3 linked regions of the Cricetulus griseus genome follow. The protein of the gene in region 1 interacts with the protein of each later gene in a pairwise test. Links are inferred from orthologs where the notes say so. Each region holds a gene or a part of one and is shown in the gene's direction. Other genes may lie near its edges.

Region 1 (10,185 bases):
CATAAATAAACTCAGATAAATTCAAAACTGCACACTTAGACCAAGTGTGGTGAGGCATGCCTTTAATCTGAATACTTATGATCATGAATTCAAGGTCATCCTCAGCTACATAGCAAATTCAAGGCAAGCTCAGGATACCTGAGACCCTGTCTCAAAAAACAAATGCAAACAGTCAGGGTAGTGGTGCATGCCTTTAATCCCAGCCCTCAGGAGGCAGAGGCAGGTGGATCTCTGTAAATCCAAAGCCAGCCTGGTCTACAGAGTGAGTTCCAGGACAGCCAGAGCTACATAGTGAGACTCTGTCTTGAAAAAAACAAAACAAAAACCACCACCAACAAAACACTAATAAGATAAAGCAAAAATCTGCAAACGGAACACATACATTTATTTATACTTTCTCTGGAAGCATCATTAAATTATTATTAATGAATCAGACGCAACAGTATGCCCCTATAGTCCCAGTTACTTGGGAAACAAAGGCAAGATGACTTGAGCACAAGAGTTTTGGGGCAGCTTGCTCAACACATTGAGATCTTATCTCTTTAAGCATTATTATTAAGGACTAGAGAGATGGATCTGTGGTTAAGAGCTCTGACTGCTCTTCCAAAGGACTCAGGTTTGATTCCCAGCACCCACACAGCAGCTCACAACCATCTATCATTGTATTTCCACAGGATCCAATGTCCTCTTTGGCTTCTAAGGGCACCAGGTGCACAAGTGGTACATAAAAATATCCATATACATAAAAACAAACAAACAAAAATATATTAATATACATACATATAAATGAGACAGACATGTTGGTGTATACTTGTAACCCCAGCATTCAGTATTCAGGAAGGCAAGGCATGAGACAGATGGTTGAAAGCCAGCTTGGGTAACTTAATGAGATCCTATCTAAAACACATACAGATAGATAGATAGATAGATAGATAGATAGATAGATAGATACACAGACAGATAGATAATAAAACACAAACACCTACTATTCGCAGAGCATTCATTACATGAAGTTTGAAGTTCATAAAGTAATTGAATCGTTAGCACTCAGGTAGGTAATGATGTCCATTTACAGAGGAATAAACTGACTCCCTATCATTAAGGAATTTAAGTTTTTTCAGCTATGAAGTGGCAGAGCCAGGATTCAGATCAGTGCAGAGTCTGTGTCACACTGCATCTCAGATCATCAAGCAAAGTTCCCAACGAAAACACAGCACAGTGAGAGATTACAAACATCAACAAATGATTACAAGATGAAAACCAGACAAGCCAGTGCCTGACCCGGTAGAGAATTCTGAGCAATGCAGAGGTCAAGCAACTGCAGAATAACCTCCAACTCTGAGCACTAGGAACACCAGTCTCCTCTGAAGGTGTGTCATGAGGAGGGGCCCAAAACAGGCAGTACTGGTCCCCTCTACTGGGCAGGCAACTGTCCTGCCACTGCCCTAATAAAAAAACATCTGAACAGGATAAACTCGTGACTCCAGACTTGGGTAACTAGGGCATCCCCGAATACAAAGATTTATTGATTATGCATCTACACTGAAAGAGCAAGTACTTTATTCTATAGCTTGGTTCTTGGAATGTAGTACTGGATGATAGCATCACTGGTGAACTTGACAGGGCCCATGCCATACCTATGACTCAGAAATTCTAGGGTGAGCTCTAATGAACAACAAGTCCACCTGACGAAGTTTGAGAACCATTACCCTAACTGGGGGGGGGGAGGGGGGCAACTAGTTACTACATCATCACGTGCCAAAAAGCCTCTAACTGGTTCTTCAGTGTCTGCTTAACTAAAAACAGTCAGGATTCACCAGAAGTTTGAGGTAAGACTCGAACAGCCCTTGTTGTAAGTAGTGAAATGTAGACCTGGCCTTTCTATGGCTCCCAGCACCACTGAGCTCTCCTGAGGCTTTATAGAAGAGAGTCTATAGTTATGTTTAGTTCTAACCTATGTTTTTTGTTTGTTTGTTTGTTTTTGTTTTTTTTTTTGGTTTTTTCCAGACAAGGTTTCTCTGTGTAGACCTGGCTGGCATTGAACTCACAGAGATTCGCCTGCCTCTGCTTCCTGAGTGCTGGGACTAAAGGCGTGTGCCACCACTACCTGACACAGCCTAAATCTTTTTAAAGACATTTTTTTATTGTGTGTGTGTGTGTGTGTGTGTGTGTGTGTGTGTGTGTGTGTGTGTACATGCCACAGCATACTTACGGAGGGCAGAGGACAATTTCCAGGAATCATTCCTATCCTTCCACTATGTGGGTCACAGGGATTGAACTCCGGTCATCAGGCTTGGCAGCAAGTTGCCTTTACCTGATCAGCCTATTGCCAGTCCAAATCTTAACACAAAACTTCTTTCTTCCTACTGCTTTTCACTAGTCCCCACTCATCTTAGATGTTACTGCCACAATTAAGTCACTCTTCAGCTTCCAAGTCTCTAGTGGCCTTGACACCTTTTGCATCCTTTAGTCCGGGTTAGTTTTAATAATCCTCTTGGTTTCCCTGTTTTACCTGGGGAAATCCTGCCCCTTCTTAGGCCAGTTCAGTACTCTAATAGAAAACCATTTCTTTCAGGGGTCATGAAAAAGTCACAATAGGTGTTGTACAAAGAATACCAAACATCTCATTCAATCCTCACTAATAGTGAGATTTAGGAGTCATCTTTATTTCCACATTTGAAAAACTTAAGCTTGGGGAGATTAAGTAACTTGCCCAAGGTTACAGCTAGTATTTTCATGCAAATCCTTCTGTCTCCAAAGCCACTCTCAGACTGCTTTGCTTTTCAAAGTGCCAAACTATTAACCATCCTACTTACCAGTCTGACTCTAATATGTGGAGAAGCAAAGTTTCCTTAACTAAGTAGAAAGCAAAATCGAAAAGGTGTCTGTGTCTTTCTGCTGTTTTGAAACAGGAAGAGGGAGTGTTAGGCACACACTAAGAGCCTTCCAGGCAAAGTCCAGCAGGAAAAACCACAGGCAAGTAGCATCTCCCCACCTGGAGGGCATCCACCTGGCTCAGCAGTGTAGTCAAGAGGCAGCCCAGCTTGATCCAAAGCACAGGACACCAGACCAGAATGCTGGTAGGGAACAGGTGGTGAATATATTCCCCTCCCCAAGCAGCCCATTAGCCTGGCCTCCAGGACCTTTTGGTGGTGACTGCGGGTTATTTTCTAGCGTGGGGCAGAGTAGTCCACACCAAAAGATCTCCAGACCCGATTCTAAAAGCGCCAAGGGCAGGCAATGACTCCTGAGGAGATGGCTTATTAGCCTGTACAACAGCACAGCCAACTTCAAGGAGCACAAAGGAATGACTTTCTGACAAGATAAGATGTTTTAGTGTGCCCATCGGAATGTGGAGTCAGCCACCGCCCCTTCCTCCATAGACCGGCTGCAAGAACATTTTCTCTCGTCTGTGTGACAGAAAAGGAGGCGGATACCCCAATGTCTCCTTTTCTTAGGGCGTCAGCGGCACAACTCTCGGTCTTTCCTTCCAATGGCTGAACGGCTGCCCCTTTCCTCTCCCAACTTGGCCTCAATCCCCCTCTGCGCTTGGCACCGCTCTCCGTCCCACCCTGCTCTCTCTAACCTCTCTTCCCCGGTCCACCACCCCGCTTTGCTTCCCGCCCGGTCCCTTTGCTTCAGTCAGCCACCGCCCAGACCCCGGCACCTTGAGCGTCACATCGCACAGCTTGCCCTGCCGCCGGATCTCCTCCATGACGCCGTAGCCACGACTAGGCAACTCCGACACGGAGAAATGCACCAAGTCCTCCAGCTCCTCCGCGCCGTCCTCCACCATCTTCCCCGGCCGCCGCAACTGCGCAGGCCTGGCCGGCAGGCTTCACACTCACCAGGGCGGGGCAGGGGAGCACGCTGACGGCAGCGCGGAGCGCGAAGCAGAAATCCCACGGCCCTGCGCGGCCGCCGTACGCACCGGAAGTCCCGATGCCCCGCTTCCTGGTTCATACATAACCTTCTTTTGCCGCAACCTAAACCCCAGTTTCGCCTACGCAGGTGCTCCAAGCCTTCCAGGTTAATCGGCCCCATCTAGGTCCTCTTCGTTCAGCCCTGACTTTGCCTGTACCTTCAACGGGGGAGTGAGGACTTCAATTCCGCCACCGCTTTACACCACTTCCGGAGTCCCTGGAAGCTTCCCGTTGCCATGGCGACCGTGTACACAGCGGGTCGTCAGGCAGTCCGGATTCCTCCTTGGAGTCGCTGCAGTTACAGAGGTCGCGAGGTGAGCAGTAGCCACGCGCCGGTGGGGTTAGGTCAAAGAGCACTCGCGCGGATATCCGCCCTGGCTGCCGCCAGCGCCCTTTTCTGTAGAAACCCAGGCACCCCTAGAGAGCGTGTTGTGTCATCTTGTGCCCCTTCAAGCCTGATCGCGGCTTAGGGGAGCGTCAAGTTTTTGAACTAATGTTCTCTAGTCCCACGAGTCTCCCCCGGGGTCCCACGACTCGCCCTAGACAGAGAGGGCGTGAGGTTGAGTGTCAGGGGTCATTCGGACGCTTCACGCCTCAGTTTTCGAACTGGAGAGACCTTCGGCATCTTCACTTCGATCCTTTCGAACGGCAGAGGAGGAAAGCTCTGCAGAAGGGCCTGGGAATGGGAGCGAGTTCGCCTGCCATGAACGCTTTAGGAAAGCTGTCTGTCAAAAGGGTGAGAAATGAGAGAGAGAGGCTGGTTTTGCCTGGATGCCAGGTTTGGGTTCACCTCACGGTGTGGTACAGTAGGTGTTGTGGGTGTAGATGCTGCTGTTTCTCGGGCAGTCTTTGTCTCTGGTCCAGGTAAGAGCATGGCAGATAGGGACCGCCAGTGCCTACCAGTCATCCCATCGAATGTCAAGTCTTCATGAGGCCTTCCCAGGCCCCAAACAAATGAAGGAACACTGAATCTCTCAGCACAGAGGGTTCATTTTATCAATCAGCCTTATCCAAAGATTTTGTTCAAATGACGAGAGGGGGCGGGGCTTCCGTGCAAAGTCCTGAGGGAAAGATACACTATCTAATGCGGAGGGTGTGTTGAGAGACTGAACATGGCTTCTTGTACCTGGAAATCAAGTTCTTCTTAAGAAGCCTGCAAGTTCAGGGGTTAGAGGTAGCGTGGGAGAGGAGTGACATCGTATACCTTGGAACTTTCTCAGTAGTGACTGAAGATGGACCCACCTATGGAGATTCAGTCACCCTCAGACTTCCAGCCATGACTCTCACCACCAACCACCATTTATTGAGCACCTGCTGTGTGCTGGGCGCTGTTCTGGACCTTGTGGGGGGAATCACAAGAGAGAAAAGGCACACTCCTTGTCCTCACGCAGCTTGTAATTTCATTTGGGAGCTGAAGCCCACATAAATGAAGCGACATAAGAACGGTAACAAGCAGTATTTCAGTAAGTGCAAATGGCATGGCTTAGACGCGCTGTTGAGCTGTAGGCTTGTGGGAGGAGTGTAGGTCATGGGAAAGGCTCCTTGCAGCTTGCAGACTCCAGGAATGTTTGGTGGCATGAGAGTCAGGAGAACCTATCTAGGGAAGAATAGATAGGTGGCTGCATGTGCATGTTGAAAATGTTAGCTTATACCCAATGGCACTGGAATTTTGCTGGGCAGGAAGCTGGGCTGTTGGGGTTTGTGTTTGGGAGGGTTTCCCAGAGCTGTAGAAACTGAGTAAAAAGCACACCTCTCATTTGGAGGTGCTGTCCCAACACTTGGGAAGCAAAGGCAAGAGGACTGAGAGGTCAAGGCCAGCCTGGGTTACACTGTGACACACTATCTCAGGGAAAACATTATTTAAAATCACGAACAACAAATCACTTCTCTCTATTCTCAGTTTCTCAGTAATATAAATCAAAGTGAACTTGGAAATGAAATCTTCCCTTTGGTTTCCTCAATTTGGGGTTCACATTAGAGCTATGTGTGATTTTTTTTCCAAGAGCTCAATTTTTCAGACAAATGGTTCAACCAAGCTTCGTTCTTTTCTTACCCCAATATTTTTCAGATTAATTTTCTAAAAACAACCACAAAAAAAACCTCTAAAAGATACAAGAGTGCTAGGGAAAGACTTCCATGAAATAGGTACTCAAGCGGTATAGGAAATGCTTACACTGTAACAGGCAAATTTGGGGGTACTGTGTTTTTTACTTGATTTGAGACTTGCAGTGCATACCATCGATGGGTGATGCTCTCATTTTATCCACATCATCAAAACTGTAAGCTGGAAGAGTAGCACCTTCCATTTAATTTATTTCTGTAGGATACATAACATCATATGTATTTGTAATGTAATTGTAAGAGGAAATGATCTCAAGTTGTGTATAGACATGTGAAAGCCATTAATAGTTTTAAAATCTAAAATAATTTTTGTTAGGTAACATCGTTGCACCTCTATTAGAAAAGTATATGTAAAAATGTTACTATTACTTATTTGATACGCTTTTAATATTTTATTTTAGTTTATTAAGTGTGTGCATGTGTTTGTGTGTGTGCACACGAGCATGTGCGCACACCCATATATGCCAAAGAATTTGTGTAGAGGTCAGAGGATAGCTTGGGCCCTTTCTTCCACTATCCTGGGGATCAAACTCAGGTCATTAAGCCTAATGGCAAGTGTCTTTACCCACGCCATCTTGTTGAGACTTCTATGTCTTTTTCATGTGTTTGTTTGACCCAGAGTCTCACTACAGCATTGGCTATAGACCAAGTTAGTCACAAACTCATAGATCCACCTGCCTCTGACTCCTAAGTGCTTGGATTAAAGGTGTGTGCCACCACCACCCGGCCCCTTATATGATTTTTATGAATATTAGAAGAGGTTCTATTTCACATGAGAAAGTTTTCCTGTAAAGGTTTTTTTAAAAATCCTTAAGCATCCCTTCAATTTGTTAGAAGACTGAATCATGTTCCTTTGTCTGACATGTCTCTAACTTTTCATAAATTCAGTGAATTCTTTTGCTGATAGATGCTTGTTTTTCCTTTTCCCTTCTCTAGCTTCTTCCCTACTCCTCTCCTGTCTCCTTCCCTCAATAAAAGTGCAGGTTACTTTGGGGGAAGATGCTTTATTCCTTCTTGAACTGGCCCAACCCTAATGGAGTATACAGTGCAGCCTACATCCTGTATTTATTGTATTTAAATTTGGTTTTGTGCATTGTACAATAGTAGTTCTAAATGGTATTATTTTTTGAGATAGGCCATTGTTAATCCCTGACTGGCCTTGAACTCACTATGCAACGGAGAATGACCTTGAAATTGTTATGACCATCCTGCCTCCACAAGTGCTGGGGTTTTAGGCAGGCACGGTGCTGCCTCAACATCTGACTCTTAGGAAGGGCTCATCTTAGAGCTGTGAGACGTCTCACTGGGTAAAGTCCTTGTCGCTTCAAGCATGAAGACCAGAGTTTGGATTCCTCGAGCCCACATAAAAGCTGCTCATGCTGGAGCTGAGAGACATGTGCATCCTGTGGGCTTGCTGGCCAGCAAGTATAACCAAAGTGGTGAGCTCCGGGTTCAGTGACAGACCCTGCTTCAAAATATAAGGAGGAGGTCAACAGTGCAGACATTCCTTTTCCACCTCTAGCTCATATGCTCACTAACATGAGCCAGTGCGCGCACACACACACACACACACACACACACACACACTCACACACACACACACACACACACACACACACACACACACACACACACACTCACACACACACACACACACACACACACACACTCACACACACACTCACACACACACACACACTCACACAGGTGAGTGCACACATGTACATACCCAAATGTCTCAGTTTAATTTAGCTAGATTTAACAGAATTAATGATTATTACAAGTAGATTTTACTTCTCTTGCCTTAGAGCACTGAAGATTTTGTGTCAGTACTTAGTCCTTTATCATCACTATATATCATGAGACACTGGAAAAAGTGATCAACTAGCCGGGCGTTGGTGGCGCACACCTTTAATCCCAGCACTCGGGAGGCAGAGGCAGGTGGATCTCTGTGAGTTCGAGACCAGCCTGGTCTACAAGAGCTAGTTCCAGGACAGCCTCCAAAGCCACAGAGAAACCCTGTCTCGAAAAACCAAAAAAAAAAAAAAAAAAAAAAGTGAACAAGTGCTCATTCCCCCTTAAAGTCATAAAAATGAATTGGGTATCACAGTATGCATCTGTAATATAGCACTGAGGAAGTGAAGACAGGAGGGTCAGGAGTTAAAGGCCAGCCTTGGGCCAGTGAGATGGCTCCTATGTAAAGGATGTTACTTGCCTTGCAAGTCTGGTGACTGAGTTTCATCCTTGGAACCCATGTGAAAGTGGAAGGCGAGAACTGACCCCACAAATGTGTATTCTGATTTCCACACAATTAAATTAATTAACTTTAATTTAAATTTTTAAAAAAAATATAGAATGCTTCACGAATTTGCATGTCATCCTTGCGCAATGGCCATGCTAATCTTCTCTATATCGTTCCAATTTTAGTATATGTGCTGCCAAAACGAGCACTTTAATTTAAAATTTAATTTGAAAAATAAATAAATAAAACTTAAAAGGCCAGACTGGGATACATGAATACTAGTCTCAAGACAAAACAAAATTAGTTGAATTATCAGTTGCATTTAATCACTTGTTTGCTTTTCCACTCTGAATTAAGAGCAGCAGTCCAATTGGTAGAATCTCTTTCAAGTAGCATTTTGACTTTACTTGACCTTTAACCAAGCTTGCCTCCCTATCACTTCTATTTTATATTTTACAAGTGTTCATCCCACAAAGCTGTATATATTTGTCTGTAGACGGAGTTTCTGTCTCACCTGGTCCTACAGCTGCTTTGCCTCAAATAAACACAGAGGCTTATATTAATTATAAACTGTATGGCCAATGGCTTAGGCTTCTTACTGGCTAGCTTGCTCTTAATTATTAACCCATTTCTATTAAACTATGCATTGCCATGAGGCTGTGGATTACCTGTAATCCAGCATGTTACTCCTTTGGCAGCTACATGGTATTTCCCTTTCAACCACTCCCTGTGTCCTTTCCCCAGAATTCTCCTTGTCTAGTAGCCCTGCCTATACTTCCTGCCTGGCTACTGGCCAATCGGTGTTTTATTCGTCAACCATAAGAGAAACATATATACAGAAGGATGTCATTTGTCTTCAGTCACTATACTATAACAAGACAAACACACACACACACACACACACACACACACATGTATGTATGTATGTATGTATGTATGTATGTATATAGGTATGTATGTATGTATGTACGTATATAGGTATGTATGTATGTATGTATGTATGTATGTATGTATGTATGTAGTGAGGAAATGGAGAGATGGCTCCACAGTTAAAATCACTGACTGCTTTTCCAGAGGACCTGTGTTCACAACTGTAACTCTGGCTCCAGGGGAATCCATTCCCCTCTTCTGGCCACCACAGGCACTGCACATACATTGCACATAGACATTTATGCAAGAAAAACACCCATACACATAAAACAGACTTTTTTTTCCCCAGACAGGGTTTCTCTGTGGCTTTGGAGGCTGTCCTGGAACTCGCTCTTGTAGACCAGGCTGGTTTCAAACTCAGAGATTCGCCTGACTCTTCCTCCCAAGTGCTGGGACCAACGGCATGCACCACCACCACCCGGCAAAATAGACTTTTTTTTTTAAGGTGAGAATATAGTTAGGTTTTAGGAGAGCAAGAGGGAACAAGAGACTGTTTTTTTTTTTTTTCATCAATGTGAGAGAAGAAAGACTATTGGATTATGGACTAGATCAAGAACTCTTAATTGGGACTTCAGATGATTCAGTGGTTAAGAGTGCTTATTCCGCTGGGCGTTGGTGGCGAACACCTTTAATCCCAGCACTCGGGAGTTCGAGGCCAGCCTGGTCTCCAGAGCAAGTGCCAGGATAGGCTCCAAAGCTACACAGAGAAACCCTGTCTCAAAAAACCAAAAAAAAAAAAAAAAAAAGAGTGCTTATTGCTCTTCCCAGCACCCATATCAGGCAGCTCATTACTGCCTATAACTCCAGCTCCAGAAGATCAGACTCACTCTTCTGGCCTCCAAGGACACTTGTATGCTGTTGCATATACTCACACAAACACACACAAATAAAAATAAACATTAAATTAAAAAAAGAATATTTAATCTAGGGCCAGCCAGATGGCTTGGCAAATAAAGTGCTTACTTTGGA
Region 2 (10,419 bases), on another chromosome or scaffold:
ATTTAGAAATATCCCTCATGGGTGTGCTCAATTGCTTGGGTTTTAGTTGATTCCAGATATAGTCAACTTAACAAACAAGATTAGCCATCATAAACCCCAAAGAGAAGATGTGGACATATTAAAGTTCAAAAGCCATGGAAAATAGTAAAATAGCTGTGGATGTTAAAGTCTTTAACATAAAGCAAGAAACACATATACTATACTCAACTAAAGCAGGTTTTATGAAACAATAGCTAGCCTTTATCATTTCGTAGTTTTAATATTTTCCATTCTAATTGCTAGTTAAAATACACTGTTTCAAAGTCCATTTGTTTGAAAAATCATTGGGTTTCCTCACTAGATGGATGTGAAGGTATACCACTACAAAGGAAATAGGAAGAATAATCGGCCAGCACAGCCACAACTCCCTTCCTGTCTAGAGGACTCAGTAGTGTAAGAGTTCCTATTGACCTTCAGTGCTGAGACAGTTATTATCTGGATCCCTTTCCCACTCCAAAATATTTCATGTAGTAGAATGAGCAATGAATTCCCTCTCTATGGCAAGCCAAGATATAGAAGAGGGAAGTGTTACAGGCCTTTTCTTCTCTATACTTTGTATTTGTGGCCTTATCATCATTCTGCCTACAAGAGAAGGTAAAATGAAATAATTCTCATTTCTGAGAAGATCTTGAATTCAATCTATACTTGAATTTACCTAAGTTTTCCAGCATGATATAGAGACATGCTCATACTTAACAAAACTTGAGTTCTTCATCTGGATGAAAACATGATTGTTTATCCACAACAGTCCAGTCAAAATCACTCAATGTGTCATCCCCAGGTGTCTTGTACTCCCTGCTAGGGACTATAACATAAGTTCAAATCTCATGGAATTTACCTTGCTTAGAAAATAAATTAAGTAATTAGATATAAACAGTTAATAACAATAGCTATGAAGGAAAAACACCGGCATCTTGGATGGGAAAATATTAGACAAGGAAGGCATTCTGTGTCAGGCCACTTTTGTGAGGTGATAAAGAGGGAGTTCTTTTCTGGGCTTTGGCCACACATAAGTGGATATGGGACCCAGAAAAGAAGTATTGGTGTTAGAAGATCAGTGAGTGTGTCTTGATCCCACTGATGAGTCAGCAGTGCTGCTATGAGGTAAGATGGAAATCACCTGAAGTTACCTGTTTCTCTCAATCAGAGAACAGGAAATCCCTCAAGTGATATGAGCTTAATCTTTCTTTCTTTCTTTCTTTCTTTCTTTCTTTCTTTCTTTCTTTCTTTCTTTCTTTCTTTTGAATTTTTCAAGACAGGTTTTCTCTGTATTGCTTTGGAACCTGTCCTGGAACTCACTCTGTAGACCAGGCTGGCCTCAAACTCACAGAGATCTTAATGCCTCTACCTCCCAAGTGCTGGGATTAAAGGCTTGTTCCCGAAAGCTTAATGTATTTTTGTAATGCTCACATGTGCAAGCTATGAAGAATGGGTTAGTTAGGGGTGTGGGTAGTAGGAAGGAGATTCCTTTGGAGACTGATTGATTGCCAGGCTAGAAAGACACCTCCATCTTCAACAGGGTTAGATTTTTCTGAGGAAAAAAAAAAAAACGAAAAAAGCAAATGAACCAACAAAATGTTGTTTAGAATATTTTCACAAGAACCACAAAGAAGCAAAGTGAAAACTGGATTGATAACAAACTCATTCTGAGGGTGGTGGTGGTATACGCCTTTAATCCCGGCACTCAAGAAGCAGAGAAAGGCAGATATTGTGAGTTCAAGGCCAGCCTGGTCTACAAAGCTGCACCGAGAAACCCTGTCTTGAAAAAACAAACAAACAAACAAACAAACAAACAAAAACCACTCTGAATAAGGGAGATGGTTCAGTAGGAAAAACCCTTACAGCCAAGCCTGGAGACTGGAGTTGGTTCCCAGGTACCACATGAAGAGGAAAGCGCCAGCTTCCTCAGTTGTCCTTTGGCTTCCACAAGCATACCATGGCATTTACGTGTATGCACACATGTATAATAACACAACTTAATTAATTAATGCAATAGCTTTTAAAAATCAGAATATTTAACATATCCCAAAGGAAAATGACACTTTAAGGACAGAGTGGAAGCAGTATAAGCTAGGTTAAAGCCTAATGTGTGTTATAAAATTCTCACATTTATAACTAATCTCATGTCCCATTCTGGGTATCATTTGTTAAAATAAGATATTAAAACAAGGTAAAAAGAAGAATACCTGTTTTAAGGATTTTCAGTTGTAAGTTGCTGAGCCCTGACTGTTGGAAATAATGATATAAGATTTAACTAATGAAATTAAATCAGAAATAGCAATAATTACCTGGTTTCACACGAGGATTCCCTAGGGAGCTTTAAAAGCTAGATGCCTAAGTTCCCCTGAGTGATTCTCATTTAACTGGGCTGAGGTAGATCCTGCCATAGATATTTCGATAAAGTTCCTTGGAGTATTCTAATGAGCCACCAGGACTGAGAGTCCTGAGTTTAGAAGTACAGTTGAGGAATTCACATGGATAAACCTATTTCATTAGTGAAATTCTATCACCAGGAAGTTTAGCATAGATAAACAAGTATTTTAACACAAGAAAACAAAGGCCCATTTTCTTTTGTGGGATTAATTTTTAAGCTTGGAAAATAATGTTATTCTTGTTAAAGAAACATTTAGTTACCAGTGAAGAGCACAGAGGTCCAGACCAGGCTGGTGAAACCCACAGAAACAGCTGACCTGAACATCTGGGAGCTCTTGCTCCCCAGACTGACAGATGGGAAACCAGCATGGGACTGATCCAGACCCCAGGAACATGGGTTTCTGTGAGGAAACCTCAGAAATCTATGGGACCTCCTGTAGAAGCCCAGTATTTATCCCTAGTGTAGGTGTGGACTTTGGGAGCCCATTCCATGTGGAGGAATACTCCCTGAGCCAAGACACACACACACACACACACACACACACACACACACACACACACGGGGGGGGGGGAGCCTAGGCCCTATCCCAAAGGATAGAAAGACTCTGATGACACCCTATGGAAGGCCTCACCATCCAGGGGGAGCACAAAAGACATGTGACAGATAAGATTGTCTTGTAAAACAATCCTGTTTCTAATTCAAATTTAAAAAGTTAGAAAAAAATCAAAAAACAGAAGTCAATTAAAGGTAAGAAGTAATTAAAAACTAAAAAAAAAAGAAAAAAAGAAACAGTTGTCGGATGGTGGTGGGGGCACGCCCTTAATCCCAGGACTCGACGCCCTTAATCCCAGGACTCGGGAGGCAGAGGCAGGCGGATCTCTGTGAGTTTTGGACCAGCCTGGTCTTTGAGAGCTAATTCTAGGACAGCCTCCAAAGAAGCCCTGTCTCAACAAACCAAAAAAAAAAAAAAAAAAAACCATTTAGTCATATAAAAAGCTTTGCTTACATGTATGGGTATGGGTATTCTGTCTGCATGTTTGTCTGTGGACCACATACCTACTTGGAACTCTTAGAGGCCAGAAAAGGTCAGCAGATACCCTGGGACTGAAGTTAAAGCCAGTTGTGGGCCTTCATAAGGATGCTGGTAGTCCATCCTGGGTCTTCAGGAAGGGCAGCCAGTGCTCTAAATTCCTGAGCATTCTCTCCAGCTCCAGACAGCAAATATTTAAAAATTATTGTACTTCTGTTATGGACAATGAAAAGATATTAACAGTTCCTGCTTGAATGACGAAAAAAATAAAAGGAAACAGACATCGGGGTTTACAAAGCAAACTGCGTTGAAAAAGTAGTCAAAAGACAAGAATTCCATCATTCCCTCAAGAAAAATATGTATAGATATATAGATTTATGTATATCTGTATGTGTTTATGTATAAACTGGTTACTAGATACTCACTAGTAATGGTTTTGGGTTTGAGAGTATCACACGACAGACTTTAATTGTTCTTTAGTTTGAACCATAGGAGTTTTAGAACAGGGCTCAAGTCGAAGTAAACTATTCTCCAGAAACACAATGGTGGGTGAAAAGGCATTTGGTGGCCACAGCAGTTCTACTACTTGGCCGGGATCTTTCAGTCCATTGGGGATCATTTTGGACTCAGAACCAAGATCCTGTGTTGTTAGGTTTTCACTTTGCCCCACTTACACATTCTTTGCAACCTAACTACAGCTAGAACAGAGAGCTTGATGAGTTACAAGTGCCGGGGAAGGGATCTGAACCGTGCCACCTCAATTCAGTAGTGGCACTGAATTGGTGGGCATCCCCATGAGGGAGCAGAGATTCATAGTTGTGAGTAGGTGTGCCTTTTCAAGAATAGGTGAAACGGATAGAGACCGAGGGACAAACGGAAAGAGCAAAAACTCAAAGAACCCCAGCATAACAGCGTGGTCGTAGGGGAAAAGTATGTAAAGTTTTACAATGCCCTGTAGTCCAATGAGATCCTCAGCGCGCATCCACCCTAAAGAGGTGGGATAACCAGCGGGGACTACAAATCCCAGCAGCCCCCGGGACTCGGAGTCCGCTCGCCGCACCGCGCAACGCCTGCTGGGGGCCGGCTGCCTGGGCCAAGATGTCGCTGATCAAGAAAAGAAAGCTTGAGTCGGGGGGCGGCGGCGGCGCAGGAGGGGAGGGAGCCGAGGAGGAAGATGGCGGGGAGCAGGAGGCAGCCCCGCCACGACCCCGGAGGACCAAGCGCGAGCGGGACCAGCTGTACTACGAGTGCTACTCCGACGTCTCGGTCCACGAGGAGATGATCGCCGACCGCGTCCGCACCGACGCCTACCGCCTGGGCATCCTGCGGAACTGGGCCGCGCTGCGAGGCAAGACCGTGCTGGACGTGGGCGCGGGCACCGGCATTCTAAGCATCTTCTGCGCCCAGGCCGGCGCCCGGCGCGTGTACGCCGTGGAGGCCAGCGCCATCTGGCAACAGGCCCGGGAGGTAGTGCGGCTCAACGGGTTGGAAGACCGCGTGCACGTCCTGCCGGGCCCCGTGGAGACGGTGGAGCTGCCGGAGCAGGTGGACGCCATCGTGAGCGAGTGGATGGGCTACGGGCTCCTGCACGAGTCCATGCTGAGCTCCGTGCTCCACGCGCGGACCAAGTGGCTGAAGGAAGGCGGTCTCCTCCTGCCGGCTTCCGCGGAGCTTTTCGTGGCCCCGATTAGCGACCAGATGCTGGAATGGCGTCTGGGTTTCTGGAGCCAGGTGAAGCAGCACTATGGCGTGGACATGAGCTGCCTGGAAAGCTTCGCCACGCGCTGCCTCATGGGCCACTCGGAGATCGTGGTGCAGGGTCTGTCCGGCGAGGACGTGCTGGCCCGGCCGCAGCGCTTTGCCCAGCTCGAGCTGGCCCGCGCCGGCCTGGAGCAGGAGCTGGAGGCCGGTGTAGGCGGGCGCTTCCGCTGCAGCTGCTATGGCTCGGCGCCTCTGCACGGTTTTGCCATCTGGTTCCAGGTGACCTTCCCTGGAGGGGACTCGGAGAAACCTCTGGTGCTGTCCACCTCGCCTTTTCACCCGGCCACGCACTGGAAGCAGGCGCTCCTCTACCTGAATGAGCCGGTGCCGGTGGAACAAGACACGGACATTTCTGGAGAGATCACTCTGCTGCCCTCCCGGGACAACCCCCGACGTCTGCGCGTCCTCTTGCGCTACAAAGTGGGGGACCAGGAGGAAAAGACCAAAGACTTTGCCATGGAGGACTGAGCCTTGCCTTTTCTCCCACCCACCTTCTTCGGAAGGTCCGAAGAGGAAGGGAGAGTGACTTCAGTCTTCATTTGAGGACATTCTTCTGGCAATGTTTATTTAAAAAGTGAGCCTCCCTGACCAAGGACTGGTGCAGTGTGCTTATTAATGTGCTTTTAAGTCTGGAAAGCATGTAGTGTCAAACTTGTATTTCTGTTTCTTTGGTTTCACTTTGGGGGGCGGGTGGGGGAAAAAATATGAGTTTATAAATTGGCCGAGCACCAATCTGACACCTCCTCCCTTATCTCAATATGAAACTGGGAAGAAGAGCAAAATGGCTCGATTAGATTTCAGAAATTTCAAATCATTTTTAGAGTGTTTTGGTTTTGTTTTGGGTCTCTGAATTCTCTCAAGTCCTAGGTGGCTGTAGGATGAGGTACCTTGTGTTCTAGTTAAAACTCATCTGGTTAGTGAGGAACTGGAGCACTCGTGAAGTACTTTAATTAGCCCTCTTCTCATTACTCTTAATCCGTGGGGTGCTAAGTTTGATGCTCACAATAATCTTAGTAAAATGACTAATTGTACAGCCCGTCTAGGCAACTCTTAAAGGAGAAGAAATTTGGAAGTGAAATAATATGGGTTTGAATATCCTTATTTTTACTTTTAAGACTGAGCCAAGAAAATTTCATATATGTTTTATAAAAAATATTTTATGATTCTTGTAAAGCCGACTGACAAAGATTGCTGAACACAACCCAAGAGTGTATGTATTCTTTACCTCATGTGCGTTATCTAAACTCATTTGGAAGGAACATAAGTGTCCTACTTACAAGCTCCTTTCTTCAGTTCTTTTTAGTTCAGCCAAACGGGAACATTGTGAATTTGGGGAAACCACTCTTAATGAAGTGTGAGTCATGTTATCAAATTTATTTCACTGACGTTTTTTCCCTCATTTCTGTGGCAAATAAAATGGCATTCTCACTTTTTATAGTTGAGGTCTTAAGACGTTTTGTGTACCATCTATGAGTTTATTATAATGCTGTACCCAAGTCTTAATAGTGTCAGTTCTTAAGTGTTACAGCTCCTGCAGAACACAGCTGGAAGACAATTCAAATTATGATTAGCACGGTTTTTAATTCTTTTGGAAAGTTTAACAGAAAGCAGTTCTGAAAACTGGTGATCTTGAGTACTCTTGAATTTTAGTTTCTGTAATCTTACTCTGTTTTTGGCTTTTTTATTCATTGCACATTAAATTGCTAAAATATCAAAGCTAATTTTCTGAGCTCTGTTTTGAAGAGAAATATACAAATATAAAGCCTTCTGTGTTTCAAAACAGTCAAGCACTCCAGTAAAATCTTAAAATTTTGATGTCAAATACTTAACATCTTTTAAAAATGCTTGGTCTGGAAATTTAAAAGCTAGTTCCTTTGGGATCATCTACGTCTTTAATCAAGCCTTCACCTGGAGTGATTGCTGATGCTTTTGATTGACCTTTCGTATTTGAATGTGTTCTGTGGACTCCCTCTTTTCGGCATATTTTGTAAATACAAGTACTGTATTGGGGGGTGGGGGGGAGAAAAAAGGACAAGAAGGAAAATCCAGTTAAAATTTGGGAGGGTGTGAAAAGAGATTAGATTTTTCTGACTGAACAAAGTAAGTTTCCAAATTCTAGTTATATTTTCTCGAAAGAAAGACAAATTAGACAAATGGGGGTGCTGAAGCAGGCACTAAAGGTGAGAAGCAGGGTGTAGTGCTTAAGGCCTAGAGCCAAAAAATCCAAACATACTTGTGTACCTTCAAGCATACTAGCACATCCCCCCACCCCACCCCCACACACACACAATTTTTTTTTTTTTTTTTTTTTTTTGGTTTTTTTGAGACAGAGTTTCTCTGTATAGTTTTGGAGCCTATCCTGGTACTCGTTCTGGAGATCAGGCTGGCCTTGAACTCACAGAGATCCACCTGCCTCTGCCTCCCAAGTACTGGGATTAAAGACGGTGCGCCACCAACGCCTAGCCACACTTTTTTTCTTTTCGAATCCCTCATGTAAACTGGAGATAATAATAGTACCTACTCCACAGACAATTGGGGATATGAGTAATTAATATAGGTAACCCAGAAGTAAGCTTTCAGTTCCATGGTGCTGAGTTTGTGTAAAAGGCAACCCTAGAGCTGTCTGAGGCTACATACAAAATGTGCTACAGAATAAATACTCACTTTGTTTTTCTTTTTCTTTTACAGGCACCTTTTGACATTATCAACATGACTATACAAGAAGAGCAGCATATGCCACTGAGTACCACAGGATCCAAAGAGTGCCGCAGCCTTTGGAATGAGCACACTTGGGAGGGATGAAAGCTAGAGGCGTGTGGACACCCAGGCACTGTCTGATATGTTATGTGGATTGGGACTGGTAACGTGGAGCCCTCAAGGTTCCAGGCCTAGATTACCAGACCCAAGAGAGAGCATTATGGTAAAGTTCACCTACCTCCCTCACAGCTTACATTCATTTAACACTGTGGAAACTCCTATTTTTTCCCATTTATTGAGCCAATGAGCGTAGTTAAAACTACAATCTAATAGTCATTGTGATAGGTATTTGGGACTACAAACTAAAAGAATCTGAACTCTGCCCTCTAATACATAACTGCCACTAGAGAAACTAAAAGCCATGATGATAGGATGGGCTGGTTTTAGTGTCAGAAAGTATATATTTATTATTTTACACATTAAGTAAAAAGGTTTCTATAGAAATTGATTTGCATATATATATATACATATATATATATATATATCTTATATGTATAAATACTTTATTGTTTTGTGAGATGGAATCACAAGTAGTGCATCACTGTCCTGCAACTCACAATGTAACTGACAATGACTTTGGACTCTTGATGTTCCTGGCTCCACCTTCCAGATGCTGGAGTTAACAGCCCTGTACCACTGTGCCCAGCACACACCTAATTCTTCAAAGTTAGATCTTAAGCACAGCTCTTTGACTTCCTTAGCCTGAACAACAATTCACTGTCATTGATCCTTCGTATTTCAGTAGAGAACAGAACACTACAGACCACCATAATGGTAACAAAGGTTTAATTATTTGATGATAAAGGAAAAGTTTAGTGCTAGAAAGACTCAACAGATGAGTCTAGACCTTCCTGGATCGTCTGCAGGGTACAACTCCTTGAGTTTGAAATAGTAGCCACTCACTGGGACAACCCCTATTTTTATTTCCCTAACAGTTAATCAAAGGTAACACTCTGGGGTCCTCAGGAAACTGAATCCATGACAGTAGCAAAGGCAAGTGAACTCCTTGTCACGTTGGCTGAGGGGCAGCTGATAGCTCTCAAGGAGATACAGAAAATGGAATAAGGAGTTGGGGAAGGTAGACATCAAAGTTGCCTGCTGCAAACAGCTGCCAGCCCTGCTGTTATCCCCACAGTTTACACCACCCAGTACCTAGGATAGATGGTACCTAGGGAGCATTTGCAAACACAGGCCACATGCCCCCCATATGGTCATCTATGTATGTTTCTCCATTAATTTTATTAACAACAACTACATAGTGTTTAAGCACTATAATAAGTACATCCTCCTCTGAAACATCTAGAATACAATGGGAACAATAAAATGACATCAGTCATTCTTGTCCGTCCATAAGCCTGGAAACCCTTTCCAGTTCTTAGCTCTGCTGAGCCAACTTGGAAAGGCAGTTCTCATCCTTTAAGCCTCTCCAAGGATTGAAAAATCCTCTTCCTACCAATAGGTAGATTGTGAACACTATAACACAGAGGGTATATTAAATGATAGCTCTTCCTTGGCTACTAAAACAAATAAAATTCTAAGACAAATCTATATCCAGTTCTCTCTCTCTCTCTCTCTCTCTCTCTCTCTCTCTCTCTCTCTCTCTCTGTGTGTGTGTGTGTGTGTGTGTGTTATCGTGTGTGTATGTCTGTTTCTGTGTGCATGTGTGTCTGTCTTTGTGAGCATGTATGTCTGTTTCTGTGTGTTTCTCTGTATGTGTCTATTTCTTTTTTTTTTTTTCTTTTTTTTTTTTTTTTTTTTTTCCGGTTTTTCGAGACAGGGTTTCTCTGTATAGCTTTGGAGCCTATCCTGGTACTCGCCCTGGAGACCAGGCTGGCCTTGAACTCACAGAGATCTGCCTGTGAGGATTAAAGGCGTGCACCACCAACGCCCGGTGTGTCTATTTCTCTGTGTGTATATGTGTGTGGGTCTTTGTGTGTGTGTCTGTGTCTGTTTCTGTGTATCTTCCACAGCTTTCTACATGATTTCATTCGCATGCTCCCATTTGTGGTTTATCCTTTCAATTGTAATAAATATTACATGTTTTGTTGGAATTTATGTAACCTGGTCTATTCTTTGAGGTTTTTAAATACTTTTGGAGGACTGCAGTCACTGGTTGGATACTTAACTAGCTAGCCCAGGCAAGCTCCTGAATTTGATGCCCAGCACTACAGAAAACAGTCTGCAGTAAGTGGAGAAGTTCTGAAGATGAAAAGGTTTCAGATAAAGGAACAGCAGAGTAAGCATGACACCTTTGTTTCCAATAAAATGGGAAATTACCCGAGGTTTTCCATTTGGATCTGTAGCTGGTTTGGTACCATCCTTCTGGCCAGTTTTACAGATGTTGACACTTTTAAAGAATCAAATCTTTGAAAGATGTGAAAAATGCTCAGCTGTTTTTCCTCAGCCTAGATCAGACCTGATAAATCTTCTACATCAAACTAAGGAGGGGTACAGATTT
Region 3 (10,281 bases), on another chromosome or scaffold:
TAACCTCTGAGCCATCTCTCCAGCCCCCCTTTATTTTGGTTTTTCGAGACAGGGTTTCTCTGTGACTTTGGAGACTGTTCTGGAACTAGCTCTTGTAGATTAGGCTGGTCTCAAACTCACAGAGATCCACCTGCCTCTGCCTCCCCAGTGCTGGGAGTAAAGGCATGTGCCACCACTGCCCGACCTAACAATTTACTTATTAAGCTTCTAATTTAAGCAGAAATGAATTTTTACATTAGAAGTTCACATAAATGCAAGAAGAGGTGGGACACAAGGATGGAAAGCATCTGGAAACAATAGCTAAAGTCACATCGTAGGACTGGCCTGGTGAGGATACCAACACTGTTCTCAGCAAGTAGGGACAGCCAGCTAGCATCACAGCATTGGAGGGCAGCAATGGACGCTGCCACTGGAAGCACTGGCCCTGGAGCTACTGTCACTGTCACCACTGTTAGAGAAAGATCCTCTGTTGTTCTTGTGCATTGCTGTTGTAGTTCCCTCAAAACGGTACATCCGATGGTCAAAGTATAAACAATGTCCATTATATCTGCAAGGAATTCTGGGTAAGTAAGTCAGGGTAGACATCAAAGCTACACAGAGGGTAGTTTCTACTTCCACCAATTAACCACAGAGGAAGGAATTCTCCAAACTATGGTTTTCAGGTAACATGCATATGAAAAGGCTGAAAATGTATGGCATACATACAGAAAAGATAAACACATCAACCTGAGTCACAGAGACACCTCATTCTCAACATGTCCAAGCTGGTTTATGATCTTTGTGACTCTCCTATTCTACTAAACAAAACAGATGACAAAAACTGGTCATCTTCCAGGCTCCTCTCTTTCTTTCTTTCTTTCTTTCTTTCTTTCTTTCTTTCTTTCTTTCTTTCTTTCTTTCTTGACAGCCCTGAATTAGCTGGTACTATCTTTGTAGACCAGGCTGGCCTGAATTCAGAGTGATCCACCTGCCTCTGCCTCTCAGATGCTGGGATTAAAGGTATGAGCCACTGTTGTGTGACAAAACTTTTACCAGGAGAAGAAACACACTCATCTTCTCACCCCAGACAGGGTTCCTATGACAGATTAAACTACAGACACCACCAAAGTCCAGCTTGGAAAATCAATGAGTTTTTTGGGGGTTACTTACAGGAGTATGGGTGAAGGGTTACTTACAGAAGCAGAAATGACTCAAAGACAGCTGCATCCCCAAGGTCCACCCCAGCATGGCTGACAGCTCCAAAGCTGGGAACCTGAAGCACACTGCAAAGCCTGCAGGCAGCTCAGCAGGTTGGAGAGTGTCCTTTCCAGGTGCCTTGGTTGGTCTAAACCTCTTCCAGGCAACTCAGGTGGCCCAGAGTCTTCCTTACAGCTGGGCTCTGCAGTCTCTAGCAGGAAGGGGCCTAGGGAATCTGCCCAGTTCCAGGGAGTTCTTGAAGGTGTTTCTTGCTGTTTGGCTCTTTGCTTAAAGAGCCCCTACAAGATGGAAAGTTTTGCTGAGCCTTGTTGGTGCATGCTTTTAATTCCAGCACTCTCAAGGCAGAGGCAGGCAGATCACTGTGAGTTCGAGGCCAGCCTGGTCTCCAGAGCGAGTGCCAGGATAGGCTCCAAAGCTACATAAAGAAACCCTGTCTCGAAAAACAAAACAAAACAAAAAAACAAAAAAAAGGAAAGTTTTCATCACAGGCTGTTACACAACAACCATCAGGTTTGACTCACTCTTTCTTCCTTTCTTCTCTTTCCTCTCTTCTCTCTCTCTCTCCTCTCTCTTTCTTTTTTGAGACAGGGTTTCTCTGTGTAGCCCTGGCTGTCCTGGAACTCTATGCTGGGCCAAGAGTTTGTTTTGTTTTGTGTTTGTTTTTTTCTAGACAGGGTTTCTTTGGAGTCTATCTTGGAGCTCACTCTGTAAACCAGACTGGTCTCAAACTCACAGAGATCCTCCTGCCTCTGCCTCCCGAGTGCTGGGATCAAAGGTGTGCACCACCACTGCCCGGCTGGGCCAAGAGTTTTTATTCACTATTGTATTTTAAGAGTCAGCAGCAAACACCTTGCTCATAGTATGTGCTGAATAAATTCCTGTGAAATTGGAAGGAGATGCTAGAGAGATGGCTCAGTGGAAAGATCACCGGAGGCTCTCTCACAGAGGACCTGGGTTTGAGTCCCAGAACTCACGTGGTGTCGCATAACCATCCTAACCCCAGTTCCAGAGGCCCGGTGCCCTCTGCTGGCTTCTACCACCAGCAGCAGGCACATAAACAGTAAGGGGCTCCTGTAAGTAATCCCTCACCCATATTCCTGTAAGTAACCTCAATATACACATACGGACAAAACATTCATTGAAGGGACCAGCTGCTCCTTTCAGCAGCCATGACAGTAACACATGCTTGCCAAGACCTTGTCCTAGTCACTAGAAGTCAGATGCCTGCCTCGTGGCAAGGAACCAATCAGAAGTTAGCTGATGGCGCTATGCTTTACGGCTCTGGGTGTGCTTTACGGACAAGTGCACGGCAATGGCGCACAAAGCATAGCAACCAGTTGACCAATAAACACAGGGCAAGCCCTCCAAGCCTGGAGGCACACCAATCCTGAGCCTGTGCATACCCCTAGACACTCCCCTTATGCTGCCCTATAAGATCTTTCGGGAGCCCCTAGGAGCCGTCTTTGCTAGCCATCTGCCATGGTGGGTGCTATCAAAGACCCGAGCTAACATGGGGTTAGCTCGTTAAACTACAATAAAGCCTCATGCAATTTGCATCGAGCTTTCGCCTCCATTCTGTGTTTGGGGTGGCCGAGGTCCTGGGCTAAGATTCTGGAAGCCTCAGCTTTCCTAGGGTCTAACAACTGAAGTCAGGAGGATGAAGATGAAAGGAAAACTCTTTCTCCTCGGAATACAGTGCATCAGCAAGCAACCTTATGTGGTCTGTCTAGAAGCATGCTTACAGACTTGTTCTATTTTATGTGCTCACTTGTTTTTGGAGAAAGGTCCAGGTGTATAGCCTAGGCTAGCTTGGAATGCCTGCCGGGCCCTCCAGTTTTACATCTGCCAGTCGCTGGCCTTACAGCACACCTGGCTATGTTGGCTGTTTGAATTCACTAACACTAAAAATAAAACCTTTGGCCAGACGCAGCGCAGCGGCACACACCTCGCTTCCCAGCTGCTTGGGTGGTTGAACAAGACAATGATGATAGAGCGAGCCCAGGAGTTCAGGGTGGCAATGGCATTTAGAGTGGAGGAAACACACCACACACACACACACACACACACACACACACACACACACACACCATTTTCCCCCTTCAAATTCACCTGCTTTCCATTTGGTGGGGCCCCTCTGCTCTGAGATGTGGTTTGGATTGACAGGATGACCTGGCCTAAATTAACCGTGGCCAGTGTGCCCTGGGGCTCCCCTACATACCTGTCTGGAGTGTAGACTAGGGCTAGCTTCCAGATCAGAGACATGAATAGCCGCTGGAGAATTGTTTCCAACTTCCTCTTGGACGCAGGAATGGACAAAAGGCTGCTATTTGCAAGCATTGCAAGCCAGGCCCCCTAGGGTGCAAAGGAACCTTCCTGGTTGGCTTAATTGGCAGCAGAATGTTTTTGTTTTGAGACAGGGTCTCCTTGTGGCTGCCCTGGAACTCTCTTTGTAAACCAGGATGGCCTTGAATACAGAGAGACCTGCTTGCCTCTGCCTTTCCAGTGCTGCAATAAGCTACTATAATGTCCAGCTCTTTCTGGGATAAATCTTCAATGGGAATGTTAGAACAGCTTGAGCATATTCAGCAATGCTGAACCATAACGGTTTTCTTTTTCAAGACAGGGTCTCACTATGCGGCTCTGGCTGTCCTGGGAGGGCTTCTAACTCAGAGATCTGCCTGCCTCTGCCTCCTGGAGTGCTTTGATTAAAGGTGTGGTAAGGATTTTCAAACTAGCTTCTGGCTACTTTTCCTTCCATTACCTCAAAAGGTAAAGAAACACATCTAAATCACAAAGCAACTCTGGAGTAAACAGGTATAATATTCAGGAAAGACCAAATGTTTTGTTCTAGCTAATCGGTGAGGAAACCGAAGAAACAAGACCCTAATAGGCCCAACTAAGACTTGGGAGAGGAACCCCTCAAAAAAACATTAAATGTATGCTTTGAAGATTTGAGTCTCCCCCCATTTCATCATAATACACTATTTCACAGCAATTAACAACTAATATGAGGAAATATAAAATTAATTTAGTTTAGCTTGGCGGTGGTGGCACAAGCCTTTAATCCCAGCACTCGGGAGGCAGAGGCAGGCAGATCTCTGTGAGTTCGAGACCAGCCTGGTCTACAAGAGCTAGTTCCACGACAGCCCCCAAAGCCACAGAGAAACCCTGTCTTGAAAAACAAAAACACAAAATAAAATCATGTTCTCAATATCTCAGCCTCTCTGGGCTTGCCTTTTCAAATGGTCTGAAGGGGACCTACAAAGGTTTCTAAAGGGTTATCCCTGACTAGAATAAGTGCTTCGATAAAGAGAGGAAATTTGTGGAAATCTCTTCCATTTGACGTTGCTAAACTTAAGAACAATAATGTCATATGTACTTATACAGTAATTGTGGGCACGCCTAAGTCCCTCCCTCTGTCCTTAAACCAATATCCCCACATCTTAGAAATCCTAGCCCTTTTTCTGCCCTCCGGAGGCGCCTTTCCCAACGTAAAGTACAATTTTAAAATTTAAGCTCGCGACTAAAAGAATGATCCGCAGTCAACTGCTGGGGAATCTGGGCGCCCCAGCGCCTGCGGAGGGTGCAGCCGGGTGTGGGCACGGACAGGGGGAGTGGGCGAAGCTGCTGGTTGGTGCCTGAAATCTGTGCGTTGCCCCTTTAATTGTGTCCTCAGCCCTCGGGCGTTTCTGTCCAACGCCCACGTCAGCAAATACCTTTTGTTTCTCCCACGTTGGGGCTACTTGTTTTAGGGCGCACAGCCTCGGCTTCGGAAGGGGGTGCTTCCCCCACCGGGAACCGGGAATTACTCCGCAGCGAGCACGAGCGGCCAGAGCCCCGCGGTAAGTGGCTGCGAGGGCGCGGGCGGGCAGAGGGCGGCCGGGGCGTCGGGGCTGCGGGCCCGGCCGAGAGCCTGGCGGAGGGCGGCGAGGCCGCCGGGTGCGCCCCGGTGTGTAGGCGTTTTCGGGGAGAGCTCCGGGGCCGGCGACGGCCACAAAGGAGGCACGGGCGGCGGCGCGGCGGCCCGGGCGCGGCTGCGGGACAATGGCTGCGTCGTCGCCGCTCGCGCCCGCGCCCCGCCCGCGGCCGGCCCCGGAAAGGCGGGAAGGCGCCGGAGCCTCCTGGCGGCGGCGGTAGGGAGGCGGCGCCACGGAGTCGGGGCGTGTCTGCAGCCGTCGGGCGCCGTGGCGGGGGAAGGGCGCGGGGCGCGGGCGCGCGGGGCGCGGGGCGCGGGGCGCTGCCGCCCGGCGTTCTCACTCCACCCACCGCCCTCTCGCTTTCGATCACGACACGACACGACACGACGGTTCCGAGCTTAGAACCGAGGACAGGAATATGGAGCCCCAGCTGGCTCCCGGGAGAATGTCCCTGGCATCTCCCACCTGGCGACACTATCTGGTTTGGTCCCTTCGCGCTCTGGCGCGCTTAGTCGCCCTTGACCGTGCGGTTAGCAGTATTCCACGTCTTTCCGAGACGTGTTTGGAATGGGATTCACACCTAGCGGGCACCCAACCGCACACACCGCTAACACCTTAGAAGTCTTTATGTTTGCAGGACTTTAGTAAATGGAGTGGTTTCGCTTTCATGAAATAGTTCACTTGATTTCTTATAAGACAACTACCTGTTCAGGCCGTTTATTCTCCCTTGCAAAGGAAAGACTCTAACCACGGAATCTCACCCCTAGACAGGGAGTGTTGACAACTTCTCCAGCCCTCCTATTCCAGCAGCCTCCTGGAGCAGTCAGTCTCCAAGAACCAAAAACCTTCACTGATCTTTATCACTTAAGGCTTACTTCCATTTACCTATTTAATTTTGTTTTAAGCTGGACTCAGGCTAGCTTGAAATTTTGATTCTATCTCTACCTCGGGAGGGTTGGGATGAACTAGTCGAATTTCAGTCTGTCTTAAATCTTTTAATGGCATAATTATATTCTTTAATATCAAAGGGGTTGATATAAGGTTGTTGTTGTTTTTTTTAAATTTTCCCTGATTTTTAAAAAGTATCTTCTTTTGAAGACAAGGTCCTATGTAGCCTAGGCTGGCCCCAAATCTATATAGTTTGTGATGACCTTGGACTCCTGTTTCTCCTACAGCCACCTGTCAAGTGCTGGGGTTGCAGGCATGAATCTGTGCTGGAATTGAACCCAAGACTTCATACATGTTTACATAGGCACTCGACTAATGAACCATATGCCCAACCCTCCCCAAGCCTTAAATGGCAACCACCCCCACATCTTACCAAAAAAACCCAAAGGCTCAGAAGACCTATAGTCTTCAAGGCCTTATAGGAACTGGGCTCACTGTGTTTGTGTGTGTGTGTTTCGGGATTGAACCCAGGGACTTGCACACGCTAGACAAATATTTTACTGTTGGGATACATTCCCAGACCCCTTCCTTATTTATTTATTTATTTATTTATTTATTTATTTATTTATTTATTTCTCAAACAGAGTTTCTCTGTGTAGCCCCGGCTGCCCTGGAACTCCTGACTCTGTAGACCAGGCTGGCCTCGAACTCATAGATCCACCTGCCTCTGCCTCTGGAGTGCTGGAATTAAAGGGGTGCGCCACCACCATCCAGCCACATTTTTTTTTTTTTGGTTTTTTTGTTTGTTTTTGTTTTGTGAGATAGGGTTTCTCTGTAGCTTTGGAGCCTCTTCTGGCACTTGCTCTATAGATCAGACTGGCTTCCTGAAAGACCTCAGAAGAGGTACTTTCGTAGAAGGAGACCCGCACCCAGGAATCAGCGAAACCACGAACTCTGGATGTAAGAGCAAGAGGCTTTATTAGTAGCGCTGGTACCCCGGGGCTTAGCTTTTGGGTAGGCTAAGCCCCGAGCCAAGGGAGAGGGGTCCTTATATAGCTAAAAAGCACAGTGCAGAAGCGAAAAGCATAGTTACAGGGATTCTATTGGACAATTTAATGAGGTACAGAGTTATCAGTATATTCTCAAGGTCTGCACCTGGTACAACAGACCCAATTCCCCCCTCCGCGTCCAGATGGCTGACCTTGGGACGGAGGTTCCCCATGGGGGGGGCGTCCTCTCCCCGCTCGGCCCCAGCCCCGGGGCGCGGCGCCAGGCGGGCGGGCCTGGGTCGAGGGCCCCCCGCCTGGGTGAACCGGCTTGGGAGGGAGCCAGCCGCCAGGCGTGTGGGAGTGTGCGCGCGTACGGGAGTGTCACCGAGAGAGAACCAGCCAGGGGGCGGGGTCTTTCACTCCAACTCACAGAGATCCACCTGCCTCTGCCTCCCGAGTGCCAGCCACATTTTTTTTTTGGTTTTTTTTTTTGTCTCTTGGCTTTGGAGGCTGTCCTGGAACTAGCTCTTGTAGACCAGGTTGGTCTCAAACTCACAGAGATCGGCCTGCCTCTGCCTCCTGAGTGCTGGGATTAAAGGCATGCGCCACCACTGCCCAGCCACATTTTTTTTTAAAGTAAATTTATTTTGAGATGAGGGTTTTCTGAGTGGCCTAGGGCTGCCTTGGACTTGCTCCTCCCTGCCTCAGCCACCCAGCTCAGCTGGCATTATAGACATAGCTCTCCCCACGCCTTCTCCATGCTTGTTCCACTCAGGGCCTTTGCATCCTGCTGTTCCCTTTGTCTGGAGTACTCTTGTTTCAGATACAAATAAATGACTCTTTCCTACTTTGGACATTACTCAAATGAAATGTCATCTTCTAACTGAGGCTTTCAGCTATAGTTTGTCTCTTTTTTTTCTTAAGTTTTAAATGGTGTTTTGCCTGTAAGTGTGTCTGTATACCAAGTGCATATGATAGTGTTGGATCCCCTTGGATGGTTATAAGCCTCCTTGTTGGTGCTGGGGAGCAAACCAGGTCCTTAGCCAGTGCTCTTAACCATCTCCAGCCCCTCTTAAATGTGTTTTTGTCTTTTGGGTTTGTTTTTTTTCAAAGCAGGATTTCTCTGTGTAGCCCTGGCTGCCCTGGAACTCAATTTGTAGACCAGGCTGATTGTGAACTCACAGAGATCTGCCTGTCTCTGCCTCCCCAGTGCGGGGATCAAAGGTGTGCACCCCCATGTCCAGCAAATATTCTTGTATTTAGTTCTAAAGATCTCCTGTCTTAGGTCCTGTAGCCCATATGTGCTACTGAAACCAATTATCTGAGATTAGATAACACAAAAAGAAGAAATATTGCTGGGTGGTGGTCTTACACTTCTTTAATCTGAGCAGAGGCAGGTGGATCTCTGAATTTGAGGTCAGCCTGGTCTACAGAGTGAGTTCCAGGACAGTTGAACGAACAAAACAAACAAAATAAGAACAGATATTTATTTTTCACAGTTGTAGATGCTAGAAGTCCAAGATTAGGGTGTTGGCGGTACCCTGACAGGTGAAGGCTTCTTTCTGCTCCAGTATGGTACCTTGTTGCTACATTCACCAAGGGGAAAACTGTGACCTCATTAGTAAAATGGATAGGAAGGCTGAAGAGGGGTCAGACCCATTTCTCCAAATCCCTTTATTAGGATGCTAATCCCATCCATGAGGGCACCCTCCCTGGCCTGATAACCACGTAAAAGCTCCTCTAAATACTCTTCCCCTGAGAATTAACTTTCAGTTTGAATTTCGGAGGAGACACGGCCTTTTACAGCACAGCTCTTAAGATGGACTTAATTCTAAATCTTCCCAGAATTACAAGACCTTCATTTTCTGAAGAATATAACCACTGTTCAACGAACACAATTACCCTTCCAGTTAACTCAAATTTAGGAGCTAGGGGTTTTTGCTAAGACCAACACACTTAGGTCTAGATAAGTGGTTCTCAACCTGGGGTCGAGACCTTCACAGGAGTCGAATATTAAAACATCCTGCATCTCAGATATTTAATTATAACTCATAACAGCAGCAAAATTACAGTTATGAACTAGCATCGAAAATAATTTTATGGTTGGGATCACCACTACAGAAGAAACTGTATTAAAGGATGGCAGCAGGAAGGTTGAGACTCACTGCCCTGGGTCAATGCTGTGAATAGTATCAGGCTTTACTTGTTATCCAAATCTACATGACTTTCTATTCTAAAGACCTTCAAACTAAATGGTTCCTAAAATATGTAATTGTCTTTTCCCACCACCTTTTAAAAGATCACTGACCTTAGTGGGAATTTTGAATTCTGTAATCTTCTTAAGGGCTACTATAGATACTTAACTCAGAGATATTGTAAATGTTCCATTTGACTTTTGGATGACTCACCTGAGGTAATCTAACCGTATTTGCTAATATAACTTGTAAGATCAGTCTACTGAAAATAAGAAAATCTGGAAGGCATTATCCATGCCTGTGACTTAGTCCTGTAAGCCTAAAATCAGCCTTTTGATGCAGGATACTGTTTGCTATTGTAAAGTATGCTGAATGTTAACAAGTTAATGAGGGAGCCAGTTACTGAGCATGTTGTGAAGGGATCCCCACACAACGGGATGCTCCTTCCTAGACCCTGGATTAGGCACAGACCACACACCTATTTATTTCTTTTTTTTCTTAATTATTTATTTGCATTTATGTGCATTGGTGTTTTGCCTGCACATATGTCTGTGTGAGGGTATCAGGTCTTGGTGTTACAGATAGTTGTGAGCTGCTTGTGGGTGCTCTTTAACCACTGAGCCATATGTCTAGTCCTCACCCCACCCCCCACATACCCATTTTCACGGAGAGATCCTTTATTAAGCAGGGAAGAAAAGTGGCTGCATTCTGACTCAGGCAGAAAAGAGCAGCAAATGACCTTACAGGTGTAATTTTTAAGAGACAAAAAGGGAAAGTCTATGTTAGAATGGCCTAGGATGCCATGGTATGTTTTGATTGGGCATGTTAACTAAGGTAGCCCAAAGAGGCTTTTTGTTTGTTTGTTTTTGGGTTTGGCTTTTCCAGACAGGCTATATCTCTGAGTAGCCTTGGCTGTCCTGGAACTCTGTGTAGTCCAGGCTGGCTTCCAACTCACAGAAATCCGCCTGAGTACTGTGATTTAAGGCATGCACCATCACACATGTGCACCCGCGCGCACGTGTACACACACACACACACACACACACACACACACACACACACACACACAACACACCATACCTCAGGCCCAAAAAG

What was found.
Region 2: the proteins of Kif9 (region 1) and Prmt6 interact in a two-hybrid assay, tested with the Homo sapiens proteins (2 studies listed by BioGRID and IntAct). The link is inferred for Cricetulus griseus from reciprocal best matches to the Homo sapiens genes KIF9 and PRMT6.
Region 3: the proteins of Kif9 (region 1) and Zbtb8a interact in binary tests that used the Homo sapiens proteins (3 or more experiments, as listed by UniProt). The two-hybrid records come from large-scale screens. The link is inferred for Cricetulus griseus from reciprocal best matches to the Homo sapiens genes KIF9 and ZBTB8A.

The regions. Positions count from the first base shown.
Region 1 is NC_048597.1:217,964,079-217,974,263, forward strand, and holds the start of Kif9 (kinesin-like protein KIF9), read left to right. Parts: upstream 1-3,864; 5' UTR 3,865-4,237; intron 4,238-4,254; exon of another isoform or gene 4,255-4,659; intron 4,660-5,143; 5' UTR 5,144-5,349; coding exon 5,350-5,386; intron 5,387-8,388; exon of another isoform or gene 8,389-8,495; intron 8,496-10,185. Other genes in the region: Klhl18 (kelch-like protein 18), read right to left, coding at 3,668-3,796. UniProt on the Homo sapiens protein: Essential for normal male fertility and for progressive motility of spermatozoa.
Region 2 is NW_023276806.1:46,952,763-46,963,181, forward strand, and holds Prmt6 (protein arginine N-methyltransferase 6), read left to right. Parts: upstream 1-4,486; 5' UTR 4,487-4,541; coding exon 4,542-5,672; 3' UTR 5,673-5,778; intron 5,779-7,892; 3' UTR 7,893-9,509; downstream 9,510-10,419. UniProt on the Homo sapiens protein: Arginine methyltransferase that can catalyze the formation of both omega-N monomethylarginine (MMA) and asymmetrical dimethylarginine (aDMA), with a strong preference for the formation of aDMA.
Region 3 is NC_048595.1:23,659,745-23,670,025, forward strand, and holds the start of Zbtb8a (zinc finger and BTB domain-containing protein 8A), read left to right. Parts: upstream 1-4,666; 5' UTR 4,667-5,039; exon of another isoform or gene 5,040-5,128; intron 5,129-10,281. UniProt on the Homo sapiens protein: May be involved in transcriptional regulation.